Saccharomyces cerevisiae S288C: one gene and its partners. The gene in region 4 interacts genetically with the main gene of each other region. Each region holds a gene or a part of one and is shown on either strand. Other genes may lie near its edges.

Evidence for each region.
Region 1: mutations in TAX4 (region 4) and MRX10 together harm fitness more than expected from each alone (negative genetic interaction), as found in Saccharomyces cerevisiae (one large-scale study listed by BioGRID).
Region 2: mutations in TAX4 (region 4) and LAM6 together harm fitness more than expected from each alone (negative genetic interaction), as found in Saccharomyces cerevisiae (one large-scale study listed by BioGRID).
Region 3: mutations in TAX4 (region 4) and SRT1 together harm fitness more than expected from each alone (negative genetic interaction), as found in Saccharomyces cerevisiae (one large-scale study listed by BioGRID).

What each region holds. Positions count from the first base shown.
Region 1 is NC_001136.10:1,018,639-1,026,308, reverse strand, and holds MRX10 (Mrx10p), read left to right. Parts: upstream 1-1,553; coding exon 1,554-2,798; downstream 2,799-7,670. Other genes in the region: serine/threonine-protein kinase GCN2, read left to right, coding at 1-1,239; PHM6 (Phm6p), read left to right, coding at 3,988-4,302; exosome non-catalytic core subunit RRP45, read right to left, coding at 4,645-5,562; RNH202 (Rnh202p), read right to left, coding at 5,889-6,941. UniProt on the Saccharomyces cerevisiae protein: Component of MIOREX complexes, large expressome-like assemblies of ribosomes with factors involved in all the steps of post-transcriptional gene expression.
Region 2 is NC_001144.5:277,193-285,815, reverse strand, and holds LAM6 (Lam6p), read right to left. Parts: upstream 6,955-8,623; coding exon 4,873-6,954; downstream 1-4,872. Other genes in the region: BOS1 (Bos1p), read left to right, coding at 1-80; FMP25 (Fmp25p), read right to left, coding at 193-1,944; 60S ribosomal protein uL16 RPL10, read right to left, coding at 2,224-2,889; BUD20 (Bud20p), read left to right, coding at 3,360-3,860; RFU1 (Rfu1p), read left to right, coding at 4,195-4,797; RGR1 (Rgr1p), read left to right, coding at 7,190-8,623.
Region 3 is NC_001145.3:465,065-472,724, forward strand, and holds SRT1 (ditrans,polycis-polyprenyl diphosphate synthase), read right to left. Parts: upstream 4,413-7,660; coding exon 3,381-4,412; downstream 1-3,380. Other genes in the region: MYND-type zinc finger protein MUB1, read left to right, coding at 1,236-3,098; LAF1 (Laf1p), read right to left, coding at 4,784-7,288. UniProt on the Saccharomyces cerevisiae protein: With NUS1, forms the dehydrodolichyl diphosphate synthase (DDS) complex, an essential component of the dolichol monophosphate (Dol-P) biosynthetic machinery.
Region 4 is NC_001142.9:275,445-283,897, forward strand, and holds TAX4 (Tax4p), read left to right. Parts: upstream 1-3,396; coding exon 3,397-5,211; downstream 5,212-8,453. Other genes in the region: ALY2 (Aly2p), read right to left, coding at 1-2,558; IML2 (Iml2p), read left to right, coding at 5,741-7,936; ARP4 (Arp4p), read right to left, coding at 8,358-8,453. UniProt on the Saccharomyces cerevisiae protein: With IRS4, acts as a positive regulator of INP51 activity and phosphatidylinositol 4,5-bisphosphate turnover. Negatively regulates signaling through the cell integrity pathway, including the MAP kinase SLT2.

The DNA of each region.
Region 1 (7,670 bases), on a different chromosome or scaffold from region 4:
GCCAAAAAACGCCTGTATAAATTGATGATTGATAGTCCGCATCTAAAAAAAATTGAGGACTCTTTGTCCCATATATCAAAGGTTCTCAGTTACCTAAAACCCTTAGAAGTTGCAAGAAATGTTGTGATATCTCCTTTGAGTAACTACAATAGCGCTTTTTACAAAGGAGGTATCATGTTTCATGCAGTTTATGACGATGGATCCTCACGTAATATGATAGCTGCTGGAGGGAGGTATGACACTTTGATATCCTTTTTTGCCAGACCATCAGGAAAAAAGAGCAGCAATACTCGTAAGGCTGTAGGTTTCAACTTAGCGTGGGAAACAATATTCGGTATAGCCCAAAACTATTTCAAACTCGCTTCTGGAAATAGGATAAAGAAGAGAAATAGGTTTTTGAAAGATACAGCTGTTGATTGGAAGCCAAGCAGGTGTGATGTATTGATATCGAGTTTTTCGAACTCTTTGTTGGACACAATCGGGGTTACAATACTGAATACATTGTGGAAGCAAAACATTAAAGCGGATATGTTAAGGGATTGTTCCTCGGTGGATGATGTCGTTACTGGCGCTCAACAGGATGGTATAGACTGGATTTTGCTGATTAAGCAACAAGCGTATCCACTAACCAATCACAAGAGAAAGTACAAGCCATTAAAAATAAAAAAATTGAGCACTAATGTTGACATAGATTTAGATCTTGATGAGTTTTTAACCTTGTACCAACAAGAAACTGGTAATAAATCTTTGATCAACGATAGTCTCACTTTGGGCGATAAGGCTGATGAATTTAAAAGATGGGATGAAAACAGCAGTGCCGGTAGTAGTCAAGAAGGTGACATAGATGATGTTGTTGCTGGTTCGACTAATAATCAAAAGGTAATTTATGTTCCAAACATGGCTACAAGATCTAAGAAAGCTAATAAAAGGGAAAAGTGGGTTTATGAGGATGCAGCCAGAAATTCTTCGAATATGATATTACACAATTTATCCAATGCACCAATTATCACTGTTGATGCCTTAAGAGATGAAACTTTAGAAATAATCTCAATTACTTCTTTGGCTCAGAAGGAAGAATGGCTGAGAAAAGTTTTTGGGTCAGGTAATAACTCGACTCCTAGAAGCTTTGCCACGAGCATTTATAATAACCTCTCCAAAGAGGCTCATAAAGGGAATAGGTGGGCAATATTATACTGCCACAAAACCGGAAAATCATCTGTTATCGATTTACAGAGGTAGGCCTTTAAAGATCTGTGCGGCGCTATAACGCATCAGTTAAAGGTAAAGTATATACAATGTCTTAGATACTATATTTAGGCTAGCTGATTCATCTAATTCACCGTTGTAAAGGGGGTAGGTCACCTTTCTTATACATATTCCTGATACTAAAGACAAATGTAGGTTTAATGAGATGGTCTACTTCTTCTCTCCTTTCTCTACTTTCCATTTTGTATTTAATTTTTCGGTGAATATAAATGTGTGCGTATGTTGTGTGAGGCTCCTCTAGCTCCTACGGGAGACATTTAATAAATGATCATAATATGGCGTGAAGAATGCTTTCATTCAGAAGTTTGACTAGCACATTCGGTTTCGTATCACGATTCCAAATTAGACGGTTAGGAACTAGTTTATCAATACAGAATTTAGAAGTGCAAGATGGCCGTTGGAAAGGTAAACTAGCTACAGAGAAGAAGACCAATAGGGAACACAAGTCAGTGGATACGAATATCAAGACAATGAAGATGCTTAAAAACCCGAAGAATTCTACTCGCTATTTGAGACGAAGTTTTGTGCCAAACCACAGAAAGCAGGAGAATGGACGTGATATTCTGGAGGATTCTTTAAGTAAAGATCACTTAAAAGTGAAGAGTTGTATCACCATTACCACCGGAGAGGGTTATGATCTCAAAAGATGCATGAAATTGCTTACTATGCAAGGATTACAACCGACAAATTTGATACCTGATGAAATCGTGTCATTTAGTTATCAGGATAATGGCAATAAAGGTGACGTAATGATTTTAGGTCAAAATGGATCTATTGTAAGCTGGGGCTTCAGTGAATCTAGTGTTCGAAACTGCATAGTGCCTATAGTTAAAGCAGCGAGTTTAAATCCACTGAACGGAGAAGACTTTGAGACTGAGGACATGGATTATGTGGAAATAGAAGGGGAACAAGATTTTGATAAGCTTTCCAGTTTGGATAATAAGGTAACACCGAGAATTGCATGCGAAAGCTTTCTTTCTGGAGATTTGATAATAATTAACTCCTTGGATTCTGATCAAGGAATGCTAGATAAGGCGGCATTCTCAAGTGGGCTATCGAGAAGCACCAACTTGGCAGTCCTAGAAGAAGCAATGGAAAAACATATATCAAAGACCAGAACAATAACAGAAAATATTTCTAAGGGAACAAAGTTAAATCTAAGGTCAAGTGATGCATTAAAGTCAATAGGCCGCCTTTTTCTAATTAGAGGAAAGTTGAACCTCTATTCAGAACTAATTGAGACCCCTGATCTTTATTGGAGTGAACCTCAATTGGAAGAGATTTTTAAAAATGTTTCGAGGTATTTGGACATAGGCCCAAGAATAAATATTCTGAACAGCAAGCTGGACTATTCTACGGACGAGTGTCGAGCCCTCATCTCTCTTTTAAACGAGAGAAACAGCACTTTTTTGGAATGGATAATTATATACCTGATTGCTTTCGAACTGTGCTTTGAAATTTATCATTTCTACCAGAAATATTCTTCCTACTGCTCAGAACCCACGAATGATGATCTAGATGCTACAAAGTAAGAGATTTTTTTGTAAATAAGAGTTACTTTTGTATGTTGTATTACGGGCTCGAGTAATACCGGAGTGTCTTGACAATCCTGATATAAACAGTCTTAGGGAAGTAACCAGTTGTCAAAACGGTTTATCAGATTAATTCACGGAATGTTACTTATCTTATGTATTATATAAAATATGAATCATACTAAGTGGTGGAAGCGCGGAATCTCGGATCTAAACTGATTGTTCAAGCATTTATACGTTTGGGTAGTTCAGCTAGGGAAGGCCGTGTTTTATCTCATGTTGTTCGTTTTGTTATAAGGTTGTTTCATATGTGTTTTATGAACGTTTAGGATGACGTATTGTCATACTGACATATCTCATTTTGAGATACAACATTGTATATACACAGAACAATGAGAAAAAGTTCCACTCAGTAATTAATATTCTTTTACCCAACGTTTCCTTATAACGTTGTTATTGAAAAAGGGATATTATATGAATCCACGCACCTGATCTGGCTCTTAGAAGCGACTAAATAACTACATATGTAAGAGATCTGCTCCTGCCACAAGAGAAAGCGTTTTTTAGCGATAAAATCAAGATTTCTCATTTCCTAATTGCTTATGACGGACGACCTTCATTATTAGAACGTGCAAATGTGCATTAGCGTGTAATGATACATACGCAAATTACAATAAAAAATAAACATGTAAATAAATGAGCCCACTTAAAATAATATGACATATATTAGTTTGCACTGTCATGAAAACCCTGATAACGTGGTGTCATTTTTATTACACCCGTATATTCATCAGCCCGTCCTAACCTATCCGAACGACGCAGGATGGCCACTAACATCGCAAATAGTGTTATTACTTTTTCCATTTGGATGTTCTGCCCTATAATGTTACGCAGTTCCGAGCTTCGCTGACACGTGGGAGGTGGGATATAATATTTGCACGGGTTCTTTTTTGTGTCGTCTGGCGGAAAAAAATAGACTCGTCTCTTGTATGGCGCGCTAGTAATTTATTATTTGCGATGCGCAGAACCTTATCTTTTGTTTTCTATTCAGTATAAAACTTGAACGATTTCACCAGATGTTTGTACACTTTGATTCATTGCAGCCCAAATAGAATTTTTGTCAACTGCCATACCAAACTTGTTGAACTAAAAAAAAACGACAGCAATTGTTTTTCAACCTGACACCAAGATGGAAGATACCTCGAGGTGCATCGATGATGTACTGAAAATAGGACAACAGGAGAAGGAAATAAGACAGGCAGAGTTTTCTGACGCACAAGGGGAGAGAGAGGAGGTTAAGTGTATTGATTACACAGTAGATTTGGAAGCAGGTCTTCCGCGCCACGAGAGTAGTGGAAAAAGTAATACCCTCAAACAGTGTTATAACGCCGTTCTAGGGTTTCTCGAGGAACTCATCATCGTCATTATTATTGTGTTGCTGTTGTACAGTTTGACAATGGTAGGTCTTTTTTATGTGATGACGATGACGAAGTTTTTGTTTTAATAATAAGAATAATGGGATTTGTTTTCTTTCAAGATTTTTCTTTTGGATAGTACATGCCTTCAGAAATTAAGCAGGGAGGCAAAAGATAATATTTTCTCATATGCATTTATAGCCGAGCCTTTTTTCTTCGCAGTATGCGTTTGTTTTATAGTAATTTAATGATTTTTATGTTTTTGAACACCGCAGTCAAGAAAACAGTAGGAAAAAAACTGCGGGCGTCTTTCATACTGCCTTTAGTAGTAAGTGTAATTTTACAATCTATACGTACCGATATATATACATATATTAATGCATGCATGTATATGTATAAGCGTTGCTTTTATTTCAGTTTTTTCGTTAATATTAGATCTCGCGGGCATTTTCAGATGTAAGCATGGCTGCATACTTGTTTCTCTTTTCTGAATCCTCCTTTAAAAGCTGCAGTATTTGATCAGTTATTTTCTCAATAATGCTGTAAGCCTCGTGACAACATTTCATTAGCGTCAACGCATCCATTGGTAAACCACCCGCTTTGGAAACTTGTACCACTTCACGGTTTTTGTTTAGCGTAACCGTCAATACACCATCTCGCAGTAGTTCCTCTTTCAATGTTGCATCAATGATGGAAATTTCTGAGTTAGTCTCACCTTTTATGTTTTCCTCGGTGTCTTGAGGATTGAAGAAAGAAAAAGTTACACATATTGGAATATGCAGTATACCTAGTGGAACTGGCTCTCTTTCATTAACAGGATGAACAATGATCTGCTCGCCATGGACAGTTATATCTGGTTTCTTAAAATGCATCAATCCTGCCATGACGGCAATACACGAAGCGTCAATAAATCCACCATCACAATCCAGGAAATGTACATCAGCTCTCACAGCCCAGCATTTACTGCCAGCAACGATACATAGTCCTTCCACGTCCAATGCGCCCGACCGCCTAACAGATTTTTCAATTATTCTTGAACATAAAACTTCATCTTCCCCCGTGATATTTCCATTTTCAAATTGAGAACCAGCCATAGGAGATATTTCTGTAGATATTACAAATAATCCTTCAAATGGCCTGTCTTCGTATGGTTGTGCTATTTGACAACTAATCCTGCAGTGAACTTTGGTGTTGCCCATTTTTACGCTAACATCACCAAATTCTTTACCAAACGTTATTTCCACGTCACGAAATTGATCAAAGGAGCGGCCGTCCAACCTATAATTCTGTCTCAGTGCTTCTAAGATAAATTTTGACTCGGATGCGGATATCTCAATGTCTTTGGCCATTTGTCTTTTAATCTAATGTATATTCTGAACAATTTTGCAATCACTACGTCCTGTTGATTAATGTATCGAGACTGAAAGTTAGGAAGTTAGAAAAAAAACTTGAAAGTTGGTAAGGTAAATACAATCTAGCAACCGTTTCCTATTCCTTTATATTCAGACATTTGTTAACATCATCGAGGGAAAAGTTGTTAATTTTTTCTTGAATTCGAGAAAGGAAAAAAAAGGTAGCCCATTCGTTGGTAGTGACAATATTGTGTAATTATCTCGCACTGAGGTCATCACCACCGAGTTATAGCATTCAAATTGCTGTTTAATTATGATACTAGCTACTTACGTTTAAAAAATCCATCAATGGCCCCTTTTCCTATGGCTACTTTTGGTTTTTTATTTTGAACTATTTTTTTGGTAACTTTTTTCACTGGCAATGAAACCCTGCCATTCGAATTTAGGCCTACATTCATGGCACTTTTCATCAGTAATTCTCTTTCAGCATTCTGTAATTCGTTCGTAGTCTCGTAGTTTTCGAGTTCTATGAAGCTAGCTTTTATATCCGGATTTAGGCAACCACTATCCATTGTAGGTGAAAAGGTAAGTAAATTATGGTAGGCCGCCCTTGGAATCAGGGAAACTAAAAGATTTGTAGCCATAACTACCTTGTAGCACTGTTTTATTTCCGTTGGGGCATTTTTAAGTGTAGGGATACTTGGAGGAAAGTTTTCTACAATTTTTGATACCTTGCCTAACAAAAATTGTGTTATCATTGCAGATGTGATCTTGTAATAGACGTCACCAGCTTCCTCAATGGTTTCACTAACTTTTGCTAAGCCACTCTTGAGACGACTTAAAGAAATGTTTTCCCAATTCTTGTCATGGTTATCCGTTAAGAAATCATGGTAATCACGCACCGTAAGAAATTTCTCATTGGTTTTGCTGTTGCTTTTTTGGTTTTCACCAGTATCACTTGAATTGGAGTAATCTTGTTCATCTGCTGAAACACTGTTTCTATAGTAAAATCCAATCAAACTAAAAGCAATATCGTATAAAGAACAAAAGTGTATTTTGCTTGAGTTAAAAACATAACCATCGGTGGGATCAGACGTATTTACAATGAAAGTTGATTTGATCGGGTGATTTTCCTTAGTATAGTGATATTTATCATTTGCCAAATCTTCCTCATGTGAATACGAGGGCCCTTTGCCGAATTGAAAAGATCTTATTTCGTAAAGTTTTCCATTAATATTTTCGAAGAGCTCGATACGAGGTTTGGATGTAATATTGGAAGGTGGCGGCAGTGTAAAAGTGTTTATAGTTTTCGAAGTTTCATAATCGTCTGGTAAAATTATTAGTCGTTCTTCCCCCCCAATGTTGGAAACGGTCATGCTTTTTGTTCGAGAGGCCAGAAAAGAAAGTCAACTATTGCGACAGAATAAGATTAAATTTGTACTCGATTTGTTTCTGCTGTTGTACCAGAATCATTAACCAGATCTGACTTTAATTCTCATCGCGCTCGTGCTTTTGACAAACTTGTGAGAATGGAGTCTGTAGTGCCTTAAAAGGAAAAAAACGCGTTGTGGTTATGAATATGAGATTTCATAATCCAACTATGGCATCGACAACATTGAAAAGATAATGAGCTGGAAGTTGCTCCATTTTTTACCTTTTGAAATTTCTTCTTATATGTATATGCTCACTTTACTGACTAGTAAAATGTCGTGAAAATTTTTAGAGTTCCATTTTGGCTCAAGACAATGGCGCTACGAAGAAACGCCATACTTAAATTCCCCTCATGAACTTAGAAATTCACGAAAGAAGCTGAATCTTTACAGAATAAATTTGTAGAAGAATTTTTCTGTTCTTTTATGCTTTATTCGTTGCTGCTGTTGATAATCAGCGATAGCTGAATTTATTGAATAGAGAGGCCGGGAAACTTCGTGCTACTGTAGAACTGAGATATAGAATACATCACAACTGGATGTATTAGACAAGTTTAATTTACTAGGAAAAAAAAGCTCAGAAACTTACAATTCTAATTAATGACTAGAATTTCATATATGAATCCTAATTCAACGTGAAATTGGTGGACTTTTCAACTTGTCACACTCAAGTAG
Region 2 (8,623 bases), on a different chromosome or scaffold from region 4:
TCAAAGATAAACTAGTCTTTTGGATCGCGTTAATTCTCTTGATCATAGGTATTTATTATGTGTTGAAATGGTTAAGATAGAAGTAACCGTGAGTTCTATATATAAATAAACATACCATATATACATGCATCATTATAAGGGTTGAAAAAACATCGCGAATCTCGCTACTTTCCTTCTATGCTCTTTCGTTTCTCAAACCCGCCAGTATAAGCAACTTTTATTACCATTGGTGACTACACGTTGCTCCTTTTTTAAGTGTAATTTACTGTTATAAATTGAGTCCAAATCTGTCGTGTCTTGTCCTGGTTTGAGAACTTCGGGAATGTTCATTGGCTTAGCGCATTTCATAGTTTTCTTTCCAATACCTAGTTGGCCATGGTCGTTATTACCCCATGCAATGACCTCGTTTTCTTGTTCAGTTTCAGTGAACACACAATGAGAGCCGCAACTCCAGTTGGTCAATTTCTTGTCATCCGACTTGATTTTTATGGGATCACATTGCGAGTTCTTGAAAGTGTTGTTGCCCAATTCACCAAAAAGTCCATTACCAAACGCGAAATAATGATGGTCTGACGTTGAGCCAGGCTTACGAATGGTCACAAACGATGTTTCATCATCACAATGAATATCCACACATTTCCAATTCGTCATCCCCGGGAAATGCGGTTTAAATGCATGCGTTACCGATCTTGGGAAAGAAACATATTCTAGATTGTACGAAATAGGTAGTGCCAATTGGCCGAACCTATTCCAGCCAAAGGCATAAATTTCACCAGTCTTATCTATTGCCAGTGTATGGTACGACCCGCAAGCTATCTTTTTAATTTCTCTTTTGCGGACAACGTCTTCTCCTTCATGCTTAAATTTGTTCAGCAGTTCAATTTCGAATAGTTGATTATTGGGAGGAAACTCATCGAATTGTGAGAATGTTGGTATACCGAATTGTCCTTTGGATACTTGAGCTTGTTTTTGATCATTTCCCGTCGCGCAGCAATAAGCCTTACCTAAATTAGATAGCAACACCAGATGATGGCTACCAGCGTCAAATTGTACTACACGTTTTTCTCCTTCCTTACCGTTGAAAATCTGATTTGTTTGTAATTTCCAATCATATCTTAGTTTTGTCTTCCATGGCAACAATTTCGACCTTCTTGATGATACTTGCGAAGCTATCAGATCCGGCGTTCTTATAGGTATGACCAATATTTCACCCTTTTTATTCAAAGCGTACAAAAAGTGACTAGAATACTTCATTGAGGTCAAATCTTGATCTGGCAATATCGTTTTTGTTTGTCCCAAATCATCCCACGATATCAAATCGCCTTTCTCGTCAATTGCAAAATTGGTGTTGAAATCGTCAGAGGGAGCTAATAGGATATCTCTGAATTTACGACCATCCAAATTAGGTACTCTAACAGGGAACAATGAGTCCTTAGAATGACACCTTCCCCATATGTATACACCAGGATGATCTATTCCAAGTTGAAAGGCAGGCACTTGAGGAATCTCCCTTAATAGATTTTTGGCCTTTTGTCTGATCAATTTTTCCAACGAATCCTGTCCACTTTGCTCTTGCGTTGCATTTATGCGACCGCCATTCATCTTGATTAACCACCAGGATTTTAATTCTGGCCAACGCAAGTAGGCCGTTCCCAACCCACCCACTACCACGAGAATGAGGATCCCTTGCCCAACAGCAGATAATTTCGCCATCCTTTCCCATTGGAGTTCAGATTCCTTTGTGATCTGATCAGGAGACTTCTCAGGCCATTGGAAATGCTCGTCTGATGGCCTTTTCTTTGCTTTATATGCGCCATGGTTAATGTTCTCTGCAAACAACTCTGCTTCATCGTATTGAGGTTGTTTGGCGTATCGCCTGATGGGACTAACCCAGTTAAGGCGAGGGAGACGTTGAGAAGTCCTCGTGAATAATCTGAATGACATTAGCGGCGCACGTCCCTGTTATCGATTGCTCCCTTTCTTGTTAGACGCATTCAACAATTCTTCGTTACTGCAGCTCAGGCTTTTTTTTTTCCTGCTGGTATACAAAAAGCAACAGTGTCCATTGACTTCAGGATATATCACTACCCAACATGCTGAACTTTAAAAAAACACATAATTATATGTATTACAATAATGTATAAATATATTTACTGTTTAATAAACTAGAATTTAAATCAAAAAAATTTCTCTTTTAAGTTAGTTCAAATGTTTGAAAAGAACTTAAGCTTGAGCAGCAAAGTATTCTGGGAATTCTCTGATGTTGTTTTCCAAAGAACCCTTCTTGGACAAGAACTTAACGAAAGCACCGTCGTCCTTGACTTCACCAGCTTCTCTCTTCTTCAAGTATTCTGGTCTGTCCAAGTTGGTGAAACCCCACTTCTTAGACAAAATAATCTTTTGTTGACCTGGGAACTTGTATCTGGCTCTTCTCAAACCTTCAACGACAACATCCTTGTTGCTGTCCTTGGTTCTGACAGAGAAGATAATTTGACCAATGTCGACACGAGCGGCCAAACCGTGTGGCTTACCCCAAGCACCTCTCATACCTTGTTGCAATCTATCCGCACCGGCACAAGACAACATCTTGTTGATTCTCAAGACATGGAAAGGATGGACTCTGACTCTTAAGTGGAAAGCATCTCTACCGGAGACAGTAGTCATGTACTTGTTGGCACAGATACGAGCAGCTTCCAAAGCTTCAGAAGACAATTGTTCCAATTCGTTGGAAACCAAATGGACACACAATGGGAATTCATCGACGGTAGCCTTCTTCTTACCCAAATCGTAGATTCTGATCTTGGAGTCTGGAACAGCTCTGTTGTATCTAGACTTTGGGTAAGGCTTGTTCTTTTGGTATCTGTAACATCTAGCTGGTCTTCTAGCCATCTTGAATTAGTTATTTGATATACTGTACTTTAAAGTTTGAAAGTCCCACTCCAAAAGCACTTGCGGAAAGGATGTATAAATGGTTGCTCCACATCAACATCTTTTTATAAACTATTCTCTAGAGAAACCAAACTGACCATCAATTCTGAGATGAAAAGTTTCCTTAGTCAGCATTATTGTGCTAACTAGTTTCGGAGGGAAAAATATCGAAAAAAAAAAACCAAAAAAAAAAATAAAAAAAATGTACGGAGGGAAAAGATGTACAGGTGTAAAAAAGCACCCCACGGAAATAACCGCTACTATAATTTCATTTCTTTTTTTTCTATATCCTGCGGAAAATTTTTTTATACTGACAGGGGAAAAAGCAAATTAATTTTGCTTTTATATATGGAAAGTAGCGGGAGATGAGATGAGGTGAATTGAAAGGCAGTTAAACACACAGACAAGTGAAGATAAAACAATAGCGCATCATGGGTAGATATTCGGTGAAGAGATACAAGACTAAAAGAAGAACACGAGACTTGGACCTGATCTATAACGATTTGTCCACCAAGGAATCAGTACAGAAGCTTCTGAACCAGCCATTGGATGAAACCAAACCGGGCCTTGGTCAGCACTATTGCATACACTGTGCCAAATACATGGAGACTGCTATAGCGTTAAAAACGCATTTAAAGGGCAAAGTGCACAAAAGAAGAGTCAAGGAGTTGAGGGGTGTCCCTTACACACAAGAAGTCTCTGATGCTGCTGCGGGCTACAATTTGAACAAGTTCTTGAACCGTGTACAGGAGATCACGCAATCGGTGGGTCCGGAGAAGGAAAGTAATGAGGCCTTGCTGAAGGAGCATTTGGACAGTACCTTGGCAAACGTCAAAACAACAGAACCTACTCTACCGTGGGCGGCTGCTGATGCCGAGGCGAATACCGCTGCCGTAACAGAGGCAGAGTCTACTGCCTCAGCCAGTACTTAACAGTAAAGTAAAGATCAGAACCAAAAATAGGCATATACACTTTTTATAGTATAACACACTTCCAGTCAACTCGAATCGCTTTTGCCGCGAAACGCAATGAAAAAAAGTACGCAACAAAGAGAAATAATGAAAAAAAAAAGAAAAAATTTTTTCATTGCTAGGCGATGAGCATCGACAGTTTTATACGTAAATCAATGGTTAGATAGATAATATTAATAACATACAAGACAATTTTTGCTTCGATTAAAGTGTTGGCACGAATTATTGTTGCGGTTCACCAACCACTATACATTTTTTCTCTTCCTTCCGCATCTTTATCTGGCCCCGGTAGGTCATGAAGTCTAGTAAGCAATTGGTTCAGGACGCTAAGGATTATCGCTTCAATCCGGCGATACCATTGAGAATTTACCTGAAAACATGCATCGGCATATTGGAAAAGGCACAGTGTGCGTTCCAGGCCAACGACTTGTCGCTGTCGTTTATTTATTATTTTAGATATGTGGATTTATTGACTAACAAACTATCTAGACACCCTGAGCTTTTGCGCATGGATGCGTCGTCGTCATCGTCGTCATCGTATATTCATAAAAGAGAATACCTGCAACTCATAAAGTTGGAAGTGCCTGCGGTCTGCAAAATTATTGAAAGCTTACGCACCCAAATTGATTCTCAATACAGCAAATTGCAAACATCACTCGCTAATAATATAGCCAAGCCGAACATAAACGCAAACACAACTCCCGTGCAGGTGGAGCAACAACCACTGCCGAAGAAATCTTTCGACGAGTATAGCTTCAACCAATCAATTTCTTTTTTCCAGAAAATTTCAAACGCACAACTTAATACCGGAGCAAGCTCTCAGAGTCAGGCCACTGCCCGTGATGAAGCCTACAGACTGAATTATCCGGAGCTACCACGCCTTACATTCTCCACATAGCATCCTTTTTTTTTTTTTTTTTCCATACCATACGAACATACATAACCTTACATACAATATTACATGATTACTCTGTTACAACACGTCTCCCCTTCTTGGTCTTGACCATTGTACTTTGGCTGGTATGTCCAATAGAGTCGCGTGCGCTACAACTTCGTCCTTGTGGGTCATGAGGTTCGTCAGCTTATCCATCTTCTTGTTCAACTTCATTAAATACAGCAGATTTAACACCAAGAGCACCAAGATTATTATGTTCACCCAGTTAAACCTCCATCTGTCGCTGCCTATTTCTGAGATTTCCGCCTCAGCTTCTGGTTTCGACTCCGGCTGTACCATCGTCAGCTCCGGTGCTGCCACTTTCCTAGGTGATCCAAAAGATGTAACACTGGGCAACGGCTTGAGTGTATCTGCTTTTTCTTTGCTCAATTCCACGTATTTCTCTACAAATTCTTCGACTAACTTTACCAAGTCCTTAGTGGCGCTAATTTGTCCATTTTTACAATTGCTCTCTACCATTGGCTTGATCCAACTGGATGCGTTCCAGTCCACCCAAAAACTTATTTTTAATATGCAACCTTGCCCCTGGTCATCCCATCGGAACATGTACCTCGTTCTGGTGCTGAAACTGGTACCACTAGGAACATTTGGTGTTCTTGTTATACTTAAAACATTTATGTACCTTTCCCAGTCGCAGTGTAAAAGAATTTCCGCTACCTCACAGTTTGTGGATTTGGGCCCCACAGGGAAATGCAGCTGTTTGGTGTATTGGAATTCTCTGTAATGTTGTCCATCTTTATTGACTTTTTCAAAAGTCCCTATGTGTGAGATGTTGGACGAATCTTGAGTTTTCAAAAAGCTTAACTCAAAAACTGGATTATCTTCATTGAACATCATAATGAAAAGTAGGCCGGGTGGAACGCTGAATTGACGTTCCAGAAGCACGTATTCATTATTAGCCTCAGGTTTATAAGGAAAGTCCATGGTTTCTTGTACATGGAATGGCCCCTCATATTGAAATGGTGCGTTTGGCTTTAACCTATATACGGGCCTACAATAATAAGTTGTTGAAGAGCCTAAAGACGATGACGACGATGACGACGAAGATGAAGAAGATGGCGATGCTCTTGGTGTGCCCATGTAATCGTCCACGGACCTTATGGCCTCCTCGATGAGCATGTCGTTCTCGCTCATGTAGGAAGCCCTGCTTGTTGGTTCAGTAGTGGTTGTCGATATGAAATCGTTATATGCATTGGTAGAAACATTGTTGAATATGGAAGAAGGGGTCGATGATATTCCCTTTTTCTTGGAGACCCTCTCATCAACCTCCAAAACGTCATTGATATTGGTTAAGTTTTCCTTTGACCAAACTCTTGTAATCAATTGGAAAACCTCGTCTCTCGCTATGAATCCGGAAAAAGTGTACCTGTTAGTCACGGTTTCCACCGAAATAGCACTTGAATTTGTGGTGACCTTATCTAAATATTTAATTTCATTCAAGGGAATCTGTAACTTTGCCATCCAGTTCAACACGGTTGAGTTGAAACATAAATGTGTGTTGGAGAGATAGATTCTGCCCTGATAGGGGAATTCTCTGTGGAAGTAGCAGAAGTAGTCCGTAATAAGTCTCGTATTAGGAGCTAATGGCTTGAACATTTGGCGGAATTTTTTATTAGCCTCCTCGGATGCAAACTGGACCTCAATATTTTTGACTTCATTAGTAACCGTATCTTGTGAATTTGATTTTAGGGAAAACGTGCTCAGTACGGTGTCAAAAAATGATGATCTCGACGAACAGTTAGAAATAGACGGCCTCTTGGCATCTCCATCAACCCCATCACTGTCCCCATTCGTCGAAGTGGCCATGATAATATTATTTACAGACGTCAAAGCTGTCTCGCCACCGCCACGATGATTGTCCAAGATAGAATTAACATCAGACAAGTGCGGGTCTGCCGGCGACGATTTCAACCCATTCAATGGCACTGAACCATCCCTACCGGGCGAAATCAACATATGTTCGGTAGAAGACTTCTGAAAGCTCTTACCCTTAATAAATTTTCTGGCACCATCCATGCCACCTTCTTCCACCACCGGCTTCACTGCATTCAACTCATTATCCATAGCGTCACCAAGCTCGCGCATACTATCCCCCCACATTCTACAATTCAACGTACCATGCTCTCTTCATTGCGTTCAATTATTCTCTCTAGATGCCACTAAATTTAATTACTTTGTCCCGCTTATTGTTAACTAAACGATTGTCCCATCGCACGGTCGCTGGTTCAAGTAAAAACGGTGAATTTTTCAATTGTTTAGTAGAGGTCTGTTGTAAAGATCATCAGAAAAAGAGTTAAAAAGTGGCAGGAAAGTATAGGGTTTTCTTGGCTGGGCAATGACTACCACGATAGGATCCCCACAAATGCTGGCTAATGAGGAGAGACTTTCTAACGAGATGCACGCACTGAAGAACCGGTCCGAGCAGAATGGGCAAGAGCAACAGGGTCCCGTTAAGAACACTCAACTGCATGGCCCTTCTGCAACCGACCCGGAAACTACGGCCACCCAAAAAGAATCTCTAGAAATGGTACCGAAAGATACAAGTGCAGCGACTATGACAAGTGCGCCTCCGCCAGCGTTGCCGCATGTTGAGATTAATCAAGTCAGTCTGGCATTAGTAATAAGGAACTTGACGGTATTTACAATGAAGGAACTTGCTCAGTACATGAAAACTAATGTTCACACCCAGGCAAATGAGCCTAACTCCGCAAAGAAAATACGTTTCTTACAGCTGATTATATTCCTAAGGACACAATTTTTGAAACTTTACGTGCTTGTGAAATGGACCCGTACTATAAAACAAAACAACTTTCACGTACTAATCGATCTGTTGAACTGGTTTAGAACGACTAACATGAATGTCAACAATTGTATTTGGGCTTTGAAAAGCAGTCTAAACTCTATGACCAATGCTAAATTGCCCAACGTGGATTTGGTCACCGCTTTGGAAGTTTTGAGTCTTGGGAGGCCAAATCTACCTACACACAACTTTAAATTAAGCGGTGTCAGTAACTCTATGGATATGGTAGATGGAATGGCCAAAGTTCCCATTGGATTGATTTTACAGAGATTAAAAGATTTGAACTTGACTGTCTCAATAAAAATTGCATTAATGAACATTCCTAAACCATTAAACAGCTATCATATCAAAAACGGTAGAATCTACTTTACTGTCCCTAATGAATTTGAAATCCAGTTATCGACTGTTAATAGACAGTCCCCTCTGTTTTTTGTGGATTTAAAATTGTTGTTTAACACGGAAGCTGAACAAACTGTTTCAGCAGTTACAGAAGCTACTTCGACTAACGGCGATAGTGAGAACAATGAAGAAAACTCAAGTTCCAACGGAAATAACCTTCCTTTGAATAAGCCAAGATTAGAGAAGTTGATCAATGAAATTCTTTTGAAAAGTAATGATCCATTATTATCCCTATACAATTTTCTGCACAAATACGTGTTGACATTACAGCTATACATGGTTCATAGAGAGTTTTTAAAGCTGGCCAACGGCGGTAAATTTTCCAAAAGTAATTTGATCCATAACTATGACTCTAAAAAAAGTACAATTACAGTTAGATATTGGCTGAATGGGAAAATGGACAGTAAGGGTAAGATCACTATTGGCATTCAAAGAACAACAGAAAGTCTTATCTTAAAATGGGACAACCAGAGTGCATCAAGGGCCAAAAATATGCCTGTAATTTATAACAATATTGTATCTAATATCGAAGGGATTTTGGATGAAATTATGTTCAATCATGCTAGAATC
Region 3 (7,660 bases), on a different chromosome or scaffold from region 4:
TGCAATGATTGATGCCGTTTAGATGAATGGTCGGGACGTAACTTATGTTTTAAGAAGAAGGCACTTTTCCTGGTGCAATAGATGAATCTCGGTTTCAAGTTAACTATATAAATATGGGGTTGGCATTATATGTCATGCTTTATTATAATTAGGCATATAAAACTACATGGTTATGAAAGGCGCTGGCAGTAAAAGGGTTGTTTGTCAATGGCAAGAATTAATCATTCTCGCATTGAAATATATGTAGATCGAGGTGAACTGTTAGATGGTCCATCAGACATTTATTATTTTGACTTATGTATTTCCCTCTCAATTTTGTTATCAGTAATCGAGTCATGTGTACTTTAAAGTTCATATTCTCACGTTTTTCGCAAGATATTAGCCGCCAATAGCAACTCCGAATAATAAGAGCTATATAAAGGCCGTTGAAGCCCACGGAAAGAGAAAGAAAACTAATAGTTATTACAATATAGACCGTTGGTTTTTTCTTTCCCTCCTGGAGCAGCTGCGTATAGTTACTACCTAAGAAGTGGGCTAGAAGTTGGCTAGAAGTGGGCTACTTAATATATATCTTTGGATACATAGAAAGGAACCAGGAAAAAGGAAAATTATTTAGATGGCTTCCATAAGTTTATGATGGTTCAAACGGCAAAAAGCCTTTTGACTATTTTTCTTGGTTGAACTATCTTCTTATTAGGCCTACTACAACAATGCATCGAGCTAGGATAACAACTAGAATACTTTGGTTATGTATTGTATGGGTGTTCAGTGGCAAAATTTGAGAGTTGGGTTATTGATGGTCGGCCTATACAAACGAAAGACCTAGAGCAGCTCACAAGGAAGAAAGTGCTGGACAAACTTCCCTACCTGAAGAGAAAAATATCCGTTTTTTATATAGTTTCTGTAAGTGTGCACAGTGACTTCCTCATTAGAGCGATATAGATAATTTGAGACTTTATTTATTTTTTATTTTTGTTGGTTCTCATATTCAACCTTCCATTTATCTAAGTTGAACCATTAAACATTCCCTTTTTTACTTTGCTAATTTCATCATACCCATTGATCAACTATAAGTGAAACTTGGGAATCTTCCATTATACAAAGGTGAGGTCCCTATTTGTTGCATTTTTCAATTCATTTCCCTGGGAGTTTTTGTTTGTTTTTGCTATATTAACATATCATAACAGCGTATAGAACGTAATTTGAAATATTCAAAACAAAGAAAAGGTAAAGAAATGAGAGACTCTAATCATCGATCATTAACGTCGAACAAGCCTATAGTAACAATAACATCTACTGTCTATGACCGAAGGGCATTGGATATCAACTCTAGTATTCCGTTAATAAACTCCCTAAACTACTTAACATATCTAACCTCTAATTCATCAAAAGTTAGGGAAACGGTAGCTAACGACGGTGCTCTCGAAAGATTAGTCTCAATATTGAGGAGTTGTCATTTAAGTTTGTTTGAGTTGCTGGATTTGGATTTAGAAAATTTTAATGAGCACGAAAACATAAAGGATCTATGGAAGGAGAAAAGACTAGCACTATGCGCTTGGAAATGGACTTTAACATTTCAGTGCTTAGTATTGACAGGTACTAGAGGGACAGAACAAATTCGTAAAAAAGTGGTAATGTCTGGGGTCTTATCTGTGCTGGTCACAGTATTGGATAACTATTTACTATATCATAAAAATTACGACTTCATCAAAGATCAAACAATGACCTTTGACTTCAAAGGGATAACCACGGAGACAATGTATAAATTCATGAGAAAAGATGAGAATGAAACATATCAGCAGTATATAGAGTTCATTACAGGTCAGGATAAATTGAAGTTGTCAACTGACAAAAATTTTCTAAACGAACGATTAGTGGCACCGTCTATGACAATTCCAACTGATTTTAGTGATATATGGGGCCGGTTTGCAGACCTAGCTAGCAATTTTGAACCTGACCAGGAAAGACACGACGACGACATTGATATTGATAGTGAAGTAGAAAGTGAAAATTTTGATGCACATAAGAATTTCTTTTCGCAACCAGACATTAATAGACCTACAATTTCCACTCCACGTGAATTTTTTCTCGGAAGAATTGTCCCCAAACAAGACGACGTTATATGGTCGCTTCAGTTATTAGCTTTTGTTTCGAAGTATACATATATGAAATCAACCCTTCAAAATGTTGAGCTGGTTGAATCCCTATCGTTCAGAAGTATGGCTTACAAAATTAAACAGAGAATCTCAGAAGAGAATGACTTAGAAGAACAAGAAAGAGACGTAACTGTAAAATTGTCTTCATTATATCCTTATTTATCGAAAAATCCTGAAAACAATTCCAAAGTTAAGGCACTAGATACTAGCAAAATGGATCCATTTTTCAAAGAATTAGAAGAACTCTCAAACAGATGTCAACAAGAAGAACAAAATGAAATATGTAATAACCACTGTCCCGTTCTTAATTTGTTTGAGCGCTACCGTGTACCGAAACCTAGCGACGACAATGCCTATGGCAAAGACAAGGAAAGAATTAATTTAAGGAAGAAAATATCTGATAACTTTGAAAGGCGCTGGAGCTACGATAAAATGAAAAAGGAATTAACAAATATTGTTTACAAAAACAAGGTACTAACAAATGTTGTAAACATCTTCCCCTTAGTCGAAAAATATACAGTGAGCGCAGAAAATACACATGATGTTATATATTGGAGTTCTGTCATCATGAGAAATTCATGTCGAAAAAATGAGATCTTAGGTGTGCGTCAGTGTGCCAATTTTTCGTGCGGAAAATGGGAAGATTTTCCAAGACAATTTGCAAAATGTCGTCGATGCAAAAGAACGAAATATTGCTCACGAAAGTGTCAATTAAAAGCATGGGGATATCATAGGTATTGGTGTCACGAAGTTGGATCAAGTCATATGAGATCCACGAATACTACCACAGGTGTCAATACCCCAAATGAGCCTAGTTCTTTAAATGCCACCGCTACTACAGCAGCTGATGTTTCGAATTCTACCAGTACGTTCACTCCTAATATATCCACCACCGTACCTGATGAAATAAGCAATAGGGATGAAAATAGCATACCTGAGTAAAGTACAAGGGGATTTCGATGACCTAGGTTTAACAAGATCATGAAATATTCATTAACGGAGTTTTTTGTTTTCGCTTTTTTTATTTTTTGTTCCTAATTTTTTTTTTTTTTACATTTTATTAGCTATACACTTGGCGCAAGGATATTTTATATACCGGATATAATAGATAATTAAAAGACTACTAATTAAAAATGATGTAATATGGTAATAGGTATGGAAGAATCAGGGAGTTTTCAGAATGTTCTTTGCCCTCTCTTGGGCTTTCTAGTTTTGCACTTTTACTTATTCATCTCCTGTAACCGAAACTGAAATGGGGGGGTTTGGAAAGTTGTACAAAGACATAGCTGTTTTCTTTTTTTTAAATATTGAAGGAACGCTTTCATGTATTTTTTCAAACAATGAGTGATTCTTCTCATTATATTTTTGAATGGTGGAAAAGAAGGACCATTTGAGAATCATCAGGTACATAGCAAAGAAGCTAAAATTTGGCCACAACGTATCACTAAATTCAATGGTGGCATTTTCATGTACTTGCCATAGCATATAGTCTGAGAGCCTCCTATGCCCACTTGTTCTGATTAATAATTCACATTTATTGGAATGGAAACCCATGTACATTTTATTAGTAAATTTTCTTATATTAATCCTTGGTGATTTATTTTCCAAATGGTCTTCAACTGAATCACGAATAGTATGTAACATATCATTTCTTGAAGTGTAAGGAAAACATATAAATAAAGTGAAATCGTCTCCATCCTGTGTGATTTCTTCCACTTTTTTAATTTTTTTTCTCATTTCTGGAGATAGTAAAGATTGATCACCTACTATTCTTATTTTAGATCCGTATAAGGGATCCTTATAGTCCTTGGCTCTTTTTGCGAATTCATCAAGCTTTACCGTAAACAAATTCATTAGCGTATCTACTTCTTCTTTTGGTCTATTAAAATTTTCAATAGAAAATGCATAGGCGGAAACACATTTTACACCCAATCTTTTGCAGATATACAGTAGTGTTAGTAACGTTAACCCACCAGCTTCATGGCCTTTTTTTACTGGTAGCCTTCTTGACTTGGCATATCTCCGGTTACCATCCATGATAAAGGAGACATGTTCAGGCACTGGCCCTACCCTTAATGCTTTTATCAAAATATTCTGAAGATTTACATAAAACCATGAAAACAAGCTTAATGACATAACCCACGCAAATACTCTCTGAAATATACTTTTCACTGCGAAGCACATCTGTTCTTTGGTTTCTACCAAAAGCCTTTTTAGGGCTACAAACTGAATCTGAATAATACTGGGCATTTTCATTATGGTCAACAGAAACGTCCTATGTTTGAAAGGCAGCCTGTTCTTTATAAGTTGATAAATTGAGAAAAGTGCACCAAATCTTAATCTACTCTGTGTGTATTTTTAGGTCCCTTAAATAACAGAAAAAGTATAGCTTTAGCCGCCGAGGTCCACTCAGTTTGGAGTAGTTACCCTTAACAGGCACTCACTCCGTTTTGTTCTTTCGAAGAGATACGTTATAGTATATCGGCAACAAATGATAGGCTCATTGTTAGCGTTCATTAATTATTAGATTAAAATTTATTTAAGTGTATCGTGTTTCTTTACTTTATGTACGAAGATTAATATGCATTTAAAGGTATCATCCACGGAAAAAAAATACTCCATCAGCGTTAGCGGAAGTTATTAACTACTGTACCGCAGTCTACGCAATAATAGTTTCTATCTTGTTGGTCATTAGCACCAGAAAAAGCCTCAAACCTTGAACCGTTACAAACATTGCAACGGATAGGTAAATTCATTGCGCTCGTTGGAGTGGTAGGCCCATGTGCATTGGAGAAAATAGATGACATGCTTTCCCTTGGTGTTCTTGGCTGTGCATTACTGCCGAGTGTTTTTAGTGATGTACTGCTTTTGGGACATATATTAGAGTATCCACGTCCCGTTGCATAGCCTTTTCCAGTATTAGTATACGCCGCTGCCGGTTGGCCAGCCAAGTTTGATTTCGCTCTCGAGTTGAAGCTTCGACTCAAAGAATGCAAAGAATCAGAACTGTTAAACCTTCTCCGAACCTCTCTATTGTATTCTTCTAGTTTGAGTAACACGCGCTTTCTTATAACAGAGGGCATATCTGCTCTAAACACACGAATAGTCCCTACGTTATCAGTACTGATCAATATCGTTCCAATTGCGTCAACGACATCTGGGATAGCACTGGTGGCGGAAGCATTAGAAATTGAGCCTGGTTTAGAATTGTAGCCCAAAGACGACTCTACATCTGACATTATGCCATCGTCGTTACTCCGACTCAAAACATCGAAACTATCGGATGTCTGAAAAAACTCTAGAGATAGCTCGCAGATAACATCGTTAGACAAAGATAATGTTTTCGAAGTTTCTGGCGGTGCAATGCTAACACAAGTAACAGGGGCATTGTGTGCATGAAAAGAAATGTAATCCGTATTTTTGATATAATGATCGTTGCTATGATGAGGCAAGGGAAGTAAGTTAGTAAGTTTTAAATGATGATGTGGTTTTTCTTCGTTATTCTGGCTGGAAGACCTACTCATTGATTTACTAAATATGCTTCTCAAACTTCCGGACCGAGCCAATCCCTTTGGTTTCCTTTTAGGTTCGTCTTGATCATTCTCTCTATCCGAAGACTTTAACCTCCAGCCGTAAACCCAATGGTCATCACTACTATTTACAACGATTGGCTGACCATGCCAGATGGACAATTGTGCCTTGTGTTGGGAAGATCCGCTATGGAAGCCTTTCAATACCTCTAGAAGCTTCCTCTGTTCTAAGTCAAAAATTCTTATCCTCGAATCATTCGATGTAACTACTAAGCGGAAAGAATTGTCCAGTTGAGATCTAAAAGCTTGCAAACCCGTCACACGTGGACCATGACGAATTTTTGAGTCAGTTTCCGTGACCATGACGTGAGCGTTTTGTTCTTGTGTTTGTCTATCAGCTACGTGAAATGAAGAAACTGGAGTGAGACCTCTGGTCATCAGAATATGAACGTATCCATTAAATGTTCCTATTATAGTGTATTTTCCCTCCTCAGGGGATAATGTAACAGATGTTATTAAGTCTTGACAATCGTACTCAAAGCTAACTTCATCATCCAGTATAGACCATAACCTGCATTTGTGATCCAGACAGCCGCTAATGAAAAATCTATCGTCGGTGGGGTGAAATTCCACACAAGTGACAAAATCAGGATGTATGAATGTCTTAAGTGAATTTTTCCTATCGGGATGCCATAGTTTTACTGTCTTATCCATCGATGCTGACAAAATAAAATTATTTTTAGACCAATTTATATCCAGAACATCTTGCACGTGTTCTTTATACAGTCGCAAAGGCGTTGGGTGAAAGACAGGCGCATACAAATTCAATAATTTTTCCTTCTCTTCGTATTTCTCTGTAGCAGAATCCAAAAATTGTTTTTCTTTTGGATTGTTCAATGAACTGACCTGCTGTTTGATCCGCATCGACTTGGCTCGTGCCTCTTTATTTGATTCCGCACTCGAGTCCAATTCGGCTCTTTCAACTGGAGAGCCAATAACTTTCCATATTCTTATTTTACCATCTTTGCTACCAGTGGCCATAAATTTTCCATCGCGGCTAAACTTTGTACTCCATATAGCTTTAGAGGTTGGTTCAGATGATTTGGAAGTGGAGGTAACCGTTTCACCTTCGTAGGCCATTAGTTCTTGCGCGAGAAACAATCTTCTAAATTGTTTCAGGTTTTTCCGACGTTTCAACATTTTAATGTATTTTGGCTCTCTCAAATAGTTTTCAAATTGCTCTGTATCAATGGAATTGAAAGGGTAAAACTCATTGACCCTAAGATTCGAATTTAAAGTATTGCCTCTCTGTAAATGTTCCTTTAGTCTCATAAATGAATCAGTGGCGTTGCCGTTGTTACTATATTTTAATTTGTCATTTGTATTATTAGTTTTTGTCATTCTGAACTTCAATGGCTCGATATCTGCAGAATATTCAAGATTTAGTTTGCTTTTACTTTTACTTTCACCGGAACTGGACTCGCCGTCGAAGCTCTCTTGATGCGACCGACTCTCCTCTTCAGATCCAGTGGTATTCGAGGAATTGCTGAATTCAGAATGTACCTTGCTTATACTTGTTTTATCCTCCGCCATATTCGTCATATTTCTAATTCTCGTACTATATTATACGCCACTACCGTATACAATATGCCAAGAGCTCAGCAACTGCTTTCTATTCTTTTTCTTTGATTGTCTTTGTTCCTCTTTTCCCTCTTTCTTTTCCTCCTCTGTTTAACAAGTTGGAGAGAGTTGCAGTCTTGTTCCCTATACGGTCCAGCTGTGACTTGTACGAACGCGTATTGTATCCCAGGAAGAAATAATGATGTAACTCGCTTACGAAGCTTAAGAAAGGGCAAAAAAAATGTGTCCCCCCTAACTGCGAAAGTGAAAAAAAAAAAAATTAATGCGTTGAATTTACACAGTTCTATGTATAATTAACTGCTACGATAGAAACTGGACAGTAGTAAGAAAGAT
Region 4 (8,453 bases):
AAAGGATTATCGTGTCTTATTGTGGACGGTAAATTATCTTGAACACTTTCCCTTCTATTCAATGATCTTAATGATTCATTGCTCAGATTTCCTAAAGCTGAATGCGCAAATCCGCTATTATTTGGTGAGCTATGTAATGAAGACGATAGGCTTAATACTCTTTTTCTGTTCTTTTCGTTACTTTGATTCCCAGTGGATGTCGAGTCTTTGCTTTCCTCGCGTTGTGGGGTTGATAAACTTTTCACGTCCCTATTTTCTCTCTTTTTAGGAGTTGTCTCTCTTTTGTGTTTATTTTCTTCTATCTTTGACATCGATTCTTTTTTATTCAAAGTTTCTGAAGAATTCTTATCCGAATTTTTATTTGGATGGGAAGCTTTTAAACTTGGAGGCGTCGGATGTTTGGAATTAGGCCTCCTTTTTTGATTGTTGTCATGCAACACAGTATCCTTATAAGATGGTGGATCCCGTGGTAAGATGCTCGACTCTGATGAAGATACCTCAGTAGTAGTGGTTCCGGAAGCAGCATCAGATATGAAATCGGAAGAAAAGTCAAAATCTGGCGGAGGCACTTCCATATTTGACATTGGCGATGTTATTGGAGAGAGCGGGATTGCCTGGGGTGATGCTAATTCTCTTTGCAAACTCTCCGGTTGATATATGTTGGATTTCAACTTTGCAGAATTGAAGATGGTATTATCACTCGGATGGGATTTTGAGTTCCTATTGAATTGCCTAGAGTTTCTGGTCAATGAAGTGGAAGGTAAATGTGGGATTAAAATGTCTAATGGTTGGACATTGGGCGAAAGTACTGGAGACGAAAGGACTTCCTTGGGAAAGAAAATATTAGAGTTATGGTATAGATTTATATTGTCATCAGACGATTCCAATATTGAGGAAATTGAGGAATCTGTTTCTTTTGGAAAAGAAGCAGGATGTCCATCATAGCTCGGTAAAAGGGTATTTGCATGCGAGCACAATCTATGTAAAACATGTATTGGCGAGTCAATACTAATTTCGTAATGTTTCCTTTTATTATCTACTACTCTAGACAGTCTCAGGCAAATTTTAATCCAATGGTTTGCTTTGATGTTTTCATAAGAAGTATCTGGATGCAATTGCTGATGGTTGTTGAAACGACTCGGAATAAAAATCTGGTACTCATACTCTTTATTCACTAAATCACCATTCTTTGGATCCTGCAACAGGTTCCCCATATTCTTGGCCTTTGACAAATTTGCATCATTGGGCAAGTTCGGTAATTTAGGACCTTTCTGTTCTGTCAATAAAAATTTCTTGGTGGGCTCCATCCTATGAACCTTCTTTTCTCTACAATAATACTCCATTGTCTCTGTCACATAAATTCTTATTCTATGCAACGTAACTTTATCGAGGGGAGCGAATTTGAACGTGATAGGCAGAAAAGCATCTAAAATAATATCCTTTGATGCTATAACGATATCATAATATAATTGGTTTTCCCAATCTCTAGATATGATAATCGGCTCACTTTCTTCCACAGAATTATGAGCCTGTGTCCGTACGATATTAACCACTTGCCGGGCGCTAATGTTTGATTTAAAGGCACCAGGTCTCTCTATACTGGCAAATAAGAAGTATTCCACAAATCCGAAATCAGCTTTAATAGATTCTGGGTATGCTTGAGGAATTAGTTCTTCGAAAGCATAAATATAGTCGCCTGGTTGAAAGACAAAAAATTCTCCTCCAGACCCGCTGGTGAAGTTGTTGCTTGTCATTGCCAGATGATTGCTACTGGTGGGGATATGATGACCATGATGCGATGCTGCATCATTATGGGTAAAGGTGTTATTCAACAAGTCGGAAAAGATGGAAGTGGTCGTAGGTTTATAGTTGTGGTGAGACACGGAAGGAGACGTGGCTCTCTTCAATAAATTTATCGGGGATAGGTTTCTTGATGGTCCATTGGAAGAAGTGACTGACGAAGATCTAGATCTTTGTCTACTTTCTCTGTCTTTTACGTTGACAGAGGAATTTCCAGGTGCACCTAGAGGTGACAAGTTCAACGAGGACAAACCTGATATAGAATTTTTTCTGCTTGTTATAGTTTCATTATCAGACAGTGTTCTATAAAGAGAGGCACCACTTTCCTTCGTCAAAAAATTATTAGCTGCATTGTTGCTCTCATTAGGTGCGGAAGCATCCATCTTTTTCTTGCTCTTCTGTTCAGTTGGCGGATATAGAGCCCATGTATGGTCTACAATATCTTTGATTTCCACGAATTCTTGTCTTTTAGGAGGGATACCTTCAGGCCATTCAGTTCTAGAATATCCTTTGAACGAAAGACTTATGCTTTTCAGCTTTGTGGGTTTCAGTATTCTTACCACTAGACAGCCCCGAAGAACAACCGAGGGATATTCCGTCTTCTGAGGGTCAAAGCCTTGGAGGAAAACAACTGGTTCAGCTAAATGAATAAAAAGCTGTAATGATGAACTTTGTGCCAAGGGTGTAGCATCGAGGGGGATATCAATATCCTTTTCCATGGGAAACAATGGAGATGAGATAGATTGGTCCATGGGCATCTTGAAAAATGACTGATCTACAATGAGAAAGGCTGGAAAAAAAAAAAAGATGTTTCAACGTTAAAAAAATAAAGGACTAACGGTAATGAATAGCGAAGTCTACAGACTAATTTGCCCTTTTTAGTCTCTCTCAATACTCACAGACTGCTTGTAGCGTAATTAGTACCTATTCTTAAAAGACGAAAAGGAGAACTAGCCAAGTCTTTTTTTTTTCCCAAATTGGACCATATCGGATTAAATTTCTTTTTTCCGAAACTGCAAATCCTCCAGAGAATGTTTTAATAAAGGAAAACCAATGAAAGACATTTAGCAGAATAACAAAGCAAAAAGAAATGACAGTGAAGAGTGATAGGTGAAGGCGTTGAGAAATGAGAGTTGTTGCCATGGAGGAATGGGTACTGAACCCTCTCACAGAGGCGTCACTAATTTAAAAAAGGAAAAAGGTGTTATATGTATTGGGGAAAGGAGCGATGAATTTTTGGGTGATGAATGAAACAGTGGGATGAGATGAACTACAGCAATATGGTTTGGTCTTAACGGCTGTCATGACAAACTATTGATCAGGGCCAGTATTTGTATCATTATTGTTATAATTGAGAATGAAGAAAGGTTAGCCGCTGAGAGAACCTTCTTCAAATTATGTTTTTTTTGCTTTTTTTCTTTTTGGGACGGCGCGCGATAGATGGCGCAAGGGAGTTGCTCTCCGTTCGACATCAATAAATTGGTTATAAAGTGACGTATTTGGTTCCTTTTTAGTAATTGATGAAGAGTGCGGGATGGCCTATACAAGGAAGAGTCGATTTAGTGCCGGAGAATACACGCCCTGACGTTTGTATAAATGCATTTCCCCAAAAAAAAGCATTCCGGAAATCTCTCCGTGGTGGAATTGCCGAAGGAAGCTCTCCAAGATTCTTTAACTGCTGCTCAGATTACTTTCAAGAGATATGCCCACCCCAATGGCAATGCCGGTAGCGCAGAGAGGCCGAGACATCTAAAGGTGGAATCTGCGCCTGTCGTGAAATCTGAGCCTTCTTTGCCGAGGATGAGACAACCGGAACCGAGAAGTATAAATCATCAATACTCTAGGGAAACGCTTCCAGGCCATTCTGAAGCCTTTTCCGTACCGACGACTCCTCTGCAGACAATCCATTATGATGTAAGGAATAAAGCGTCAAATTCGCCAAGTAGTATAGCAGCTGCAGAGACAGCTGCATACCTAGCCCACACAAATTCATTTAGTAACAGATCATCCGGTGTCGGCAGCCGGGATCCAGTTATGGATACTGAAACAAAACCGCCACGTGCTCCTTCAGCCTTGAAAAATGAGCTGCAATTGAACAGAATGAGGATACCTCCGCCGTCATATGATAATAATGTTCGTTCACGATCTATTTCGCCACAAGTATCCTACTCTACCTCGCTGTCATCATCGTGTTCCATAAGTTCCGATGGAGAAGAAACTTCTTATAGAGAAAAAAGCACCGATGAGGCATTTCCTCCTGAACCTTCCATGTCTTCTTATAGTCTTGCGTCCAAAGCCTCAGCAAAGGCTTCTCTAACGGACCCCTCACAGCGGCAGCAAGAGTCAGACTATACGGCAATGAATAAACTCAATGGAGGAAATATAATATATAAAGGCACTTTACCCGACCTAATACCGCGAAGCCAAAGGAAGACAAGTAAACCCAGGTTCAAGCACAGGCTTTTACGATCACCTGAGCAGCAGCAAGAAAACTTATCACGTGTGTATTCGGACCAAACGCAGAATGGTAGGGCAATCATAAACACGCAGCAAAATGTAAAGTTAAAGACAACTATGAGGCGCGGGAAGTACGCAATTACAGACAATGATGAAACTTTTCCCTACGACAGAAAGTCTGTATCATCAGACTCAGACACAGATGAAGATTCTAATGTGATGGAAATCAAGGACAAGAAGAAGAAAAGTCGTCGCTCTAAGATAAAGAAGGGGTTGAAAACAACAGCAGCTGTAGTTGGGAGTAGTACCTCTGTCCTTCCGTTCCCTCATCACCATCATCATCACCATCAGCTCCATAACCCGAATTCTCATCACTTACACACGCACCATCATACAAGTTCTCACAAATTCAATGAAGATAAACCGTGGAAATCTCATAGAGATCTCGGGTTTATTACCGAACAAGAAAGAAAAAGATACGAGTCTATGTGGGTATCAAACAGATACTCGTATTTGCGCTTGCTGCCGTGGTGGCCCTCTCTCGCGAATGAAGACGACGAGTCTCACTTACAGCCCTTAAATTTACCGCAAGACGGCCTGATGCTTAACTTAGTCGTAAAAGATATATGGTATCGATCAAACCTACCCAGGGATCTTCTAGTGCAAATATACAATATGGTCGACACAAGAAAAGACGGTACCTTAGACAGAAAATCGTTTATAGTGGGCATGTGGCTGGTTGATCAATGTCTCTATGGCCGAAAGCTAACGAATGAGCTGGACCAGAGAGTTTGGAATAGCGTTGACGGCTATGTTCTCGGTACAATTAACGTGAAGCCTGCCACTTCCGATCACTATCACAACGCTAATAACCCTCTAGATAAGCCATCAAAGCTTTCAGTCCGACAGGAATTGAAAAACATCAAACGCGATCTCAGAAATGTCAGAATATGATGCCTGGCATTATTTGCAGAAGTTCTCTTCCTGTGTTAATAATGAATGACGATGAGTTAACAATGACCCTTATGTATACAACGAAAGGACGAATGAAAGAAATGAAAATATTATCTTTTTTTTTTTTTTTCTCAATTTTCCTTCACTTTTAGAAGTTTTTCCGTTCCGCGGATTTTGTTCGTCGGACCTTTTGCTTTATTTGTCTCCAGATCTCTCGAGCATAATGGTCGTTTTTCATTTCATGCTTATAGTCTTTGTCTTTCCAGCGGTACCCCCACCCCCTATCTTGGGCTATTTTCTAATTTCGTCCCTCGGATTATTTAATTCATATTCTCCCCACCTTTGTATTACTAAATTTATTTTCCAATGCTCTTTTCACTCATTCTTCCTTTTGCATATTTCTATCAGTATATATAGCGAATTGTATATATAAGCGTCTTGTTACCGGTATAGGAATTACCTGATAGAAAGAAATAGAACATAATAGGAGGAAGGGCAAACAGTGCGCCAAAACGAAAGATAGTAGAAGATGTTTAGAGTATTTGGTTCATTTGGATCAAAGGGTAATCAATCTTCTGGTGAAGAGCAATCAACAAAGACAAAACAGGTTCTGAAGCAGGCTAATGACTTTGAGATCGCCTTAAAGGCAATGGATTTTGTCCTTGATGATAGAACGGATGAAGGGTTGAATTTGCTGAAAAAAGCTGAAATGGAAACTGGTTCAGATCAAACTATCTTGACTTTGGCAAGAGGTGTTATTGAATTTCTTCAAGCCACTTTGAGTTTTGAAACTGAAGAAATGAAAAGAGCTGCAATTACTTTAGGCAAAGCTGAGCAAATGTCCTGGAAAAGTAAGCAAAATGCTGAAAAGACCAATTTTAGGAGCAGTTCAATATATCCTCCCGGTACTGTCTATGCTGTAACATATACTGAGTCATGTCTGTTGCATGCCTTGTTGATGTTATTTAGTGAAAGCATGATGGAAGCAGCCAAGGCTTTGCTAAAGTTAAGGAGGGCTTATACAATGTTACAAGATATCATGGTTACTGTCAAAAAAGCTGAACGATCGAAAAATTCGAGCTCTCCCTCTCCAAGCGAAAAGAGCCAAGAGTCATGCGGAAGTTTTGTTTCTGCAGAGACAACTTTCATATCGGTTGATATACCATACAAATTGTCTTCCGAGGACAAGTCCAATCCACTCCTATTGGAATTTGCTGAAAAAATCTACACGATGAGAATGGGAAGGTTATCAGGTGCCCATATTGGCAATACTCCATCTTTTCATAGGTTAAGGGATGATTTGGGTTTACAGACGACTCCGTCTCAAGCTTCCGACCGCCATTCTGTTTCAGATGATTTCGATTTAGAACAGGCTACCATCGACGAATTCATCCATTCAGGTGCTAATTTATGCTATGGTATCTTGCAAGTCGTCTTATCCTTACTTCCACCTGCAATCGGTGCTGTGCTATCTATTGTTGGATTCAAGGGATCCCGTGAAGAAGGTTTGAGGCTAGTTTGGAAGGCTACAAAGGAGAGAAATGTTCACGGGTGTATAGGTTTGTTAGGTCTGATGTTTTATTACGACGGTCCTTTCCAATTTACAGATGCTGACTTTGATATACCACCAAACGATAATGGATCGAGGGCTTTAAACAAAAGCAGAACAAACGATAGTAGCCTTTTACCAGGTTATATGGACAGTGCAACCTTATTGCATCCTGGAAAAATTCTGGAGGACGCATTACTAAAAGCAAGAGCACTTTTTCCTAATAGTGCCCTGTGGCTGCTAAATGAGGCCAAAATGCTTGCTGGAAAGGGCAGGCTTCGTGATTCTCTGGCCCTAATGGACTCTATTGATGTCAATAGTATCCGTATGAGACAAGTGAAATCGTTGATGGTGTTTGAACGTGCGATCCTTTTAGTCAACTTACACGAATACAACAGAGCTGCCGATGATTTAATAAGTTTGCTTGATATTAGTGATTGGTCTCACGCATTGTACACTTATTTTGCGGGTTGCTGTTACTTGGAAAATTGGAGGATGACACAATTAGGCTTATTAAATGACGGTAAAGAACAATTCTATAAAGAGCGGGCTCGAGAACTCATATTTGACGCTCCATCTTTGTTAGGTAAGAAAACGTTCAAATCCAAAAATCTTCCATTGGATAGATTCATGCTTAGAAAAGTTCAACAATTTAATAATATGCAGAAGAAATTAAACCTACAAGAACCACTAGACTCAATAGCAACATCACCTGTCCATGAACTGGCTTATTTCTACAACGGTTACAACAGGATGACTGAAAACGATTTAATTTTGACCAAAAAGATGTTGACAGAGTATCACAACCCCGCCATTGATTCGGAAGACCCAGATCAAGAGCTGATCAGAAACTTACTACTATCCTTGACCTTAAGAAGATTGGGGGATGCTGAAAGAGGTTTAGCCTTGTTAGATGACATTGTTCTGCCAAAAATATTCTACATTCAAAATGGCAAAGTCAAATATTTCAAAAAAACCGAAGACCCATGGGCATATCCAGCCGCTCTTTATGAGAGAGCTTTATTCTGTTGGAAACTGGGTGGCATGGAAAGTTTGAATGAATGTAGGGAATGGCTGCTAAGAGCCCAAAATTATGCCGCCGATTACGAATTGAGTACGCGTATCGGTATGAAGATCAAAGCCGCCCTTGATAGAGTTGAAAACGCGCTTGCTTAACCTTTTGCTTCTTCCGCCCCAACATTTTAGAAGTATGCATTTTTTTTTTTCTTTCGACTACTTACCTTCCCTTGCTAGCAGTTATTACAACCATCATTTTTTCGTGACGTTTCATAGTTTTTTTATATTTTTACGCAATGGGTTTCCCGAGTAGTTAGTTCTACGGTGTCGATATATATAGTGTTATGATTTTAAAAATGAACATATTTAAATTTTTGAACCTCCTTCTTAGTTATAGGCCAAGTTCATTACTCCCTAGGAAACAAAACCGGTCCATCGTAGAAATTTTTTTTATTTTACAAAAGGGTTATAGTAGAATCAAGACAATTTATTTATCACTGAGATATTGATCGAGTAGATGAATGGTCGCTCAAACTGCTAAACTGAAAGGCGACTTGTCATTCAACAACGTTTTCTATTCCTATCTAAACCTATCGTTAAGCAATCTTTCGACGCCCACCTCTTCGTATTCCTTTTTCCCAACCCACAGTTGGTGAAATGTTCCCAGACTTGTAAG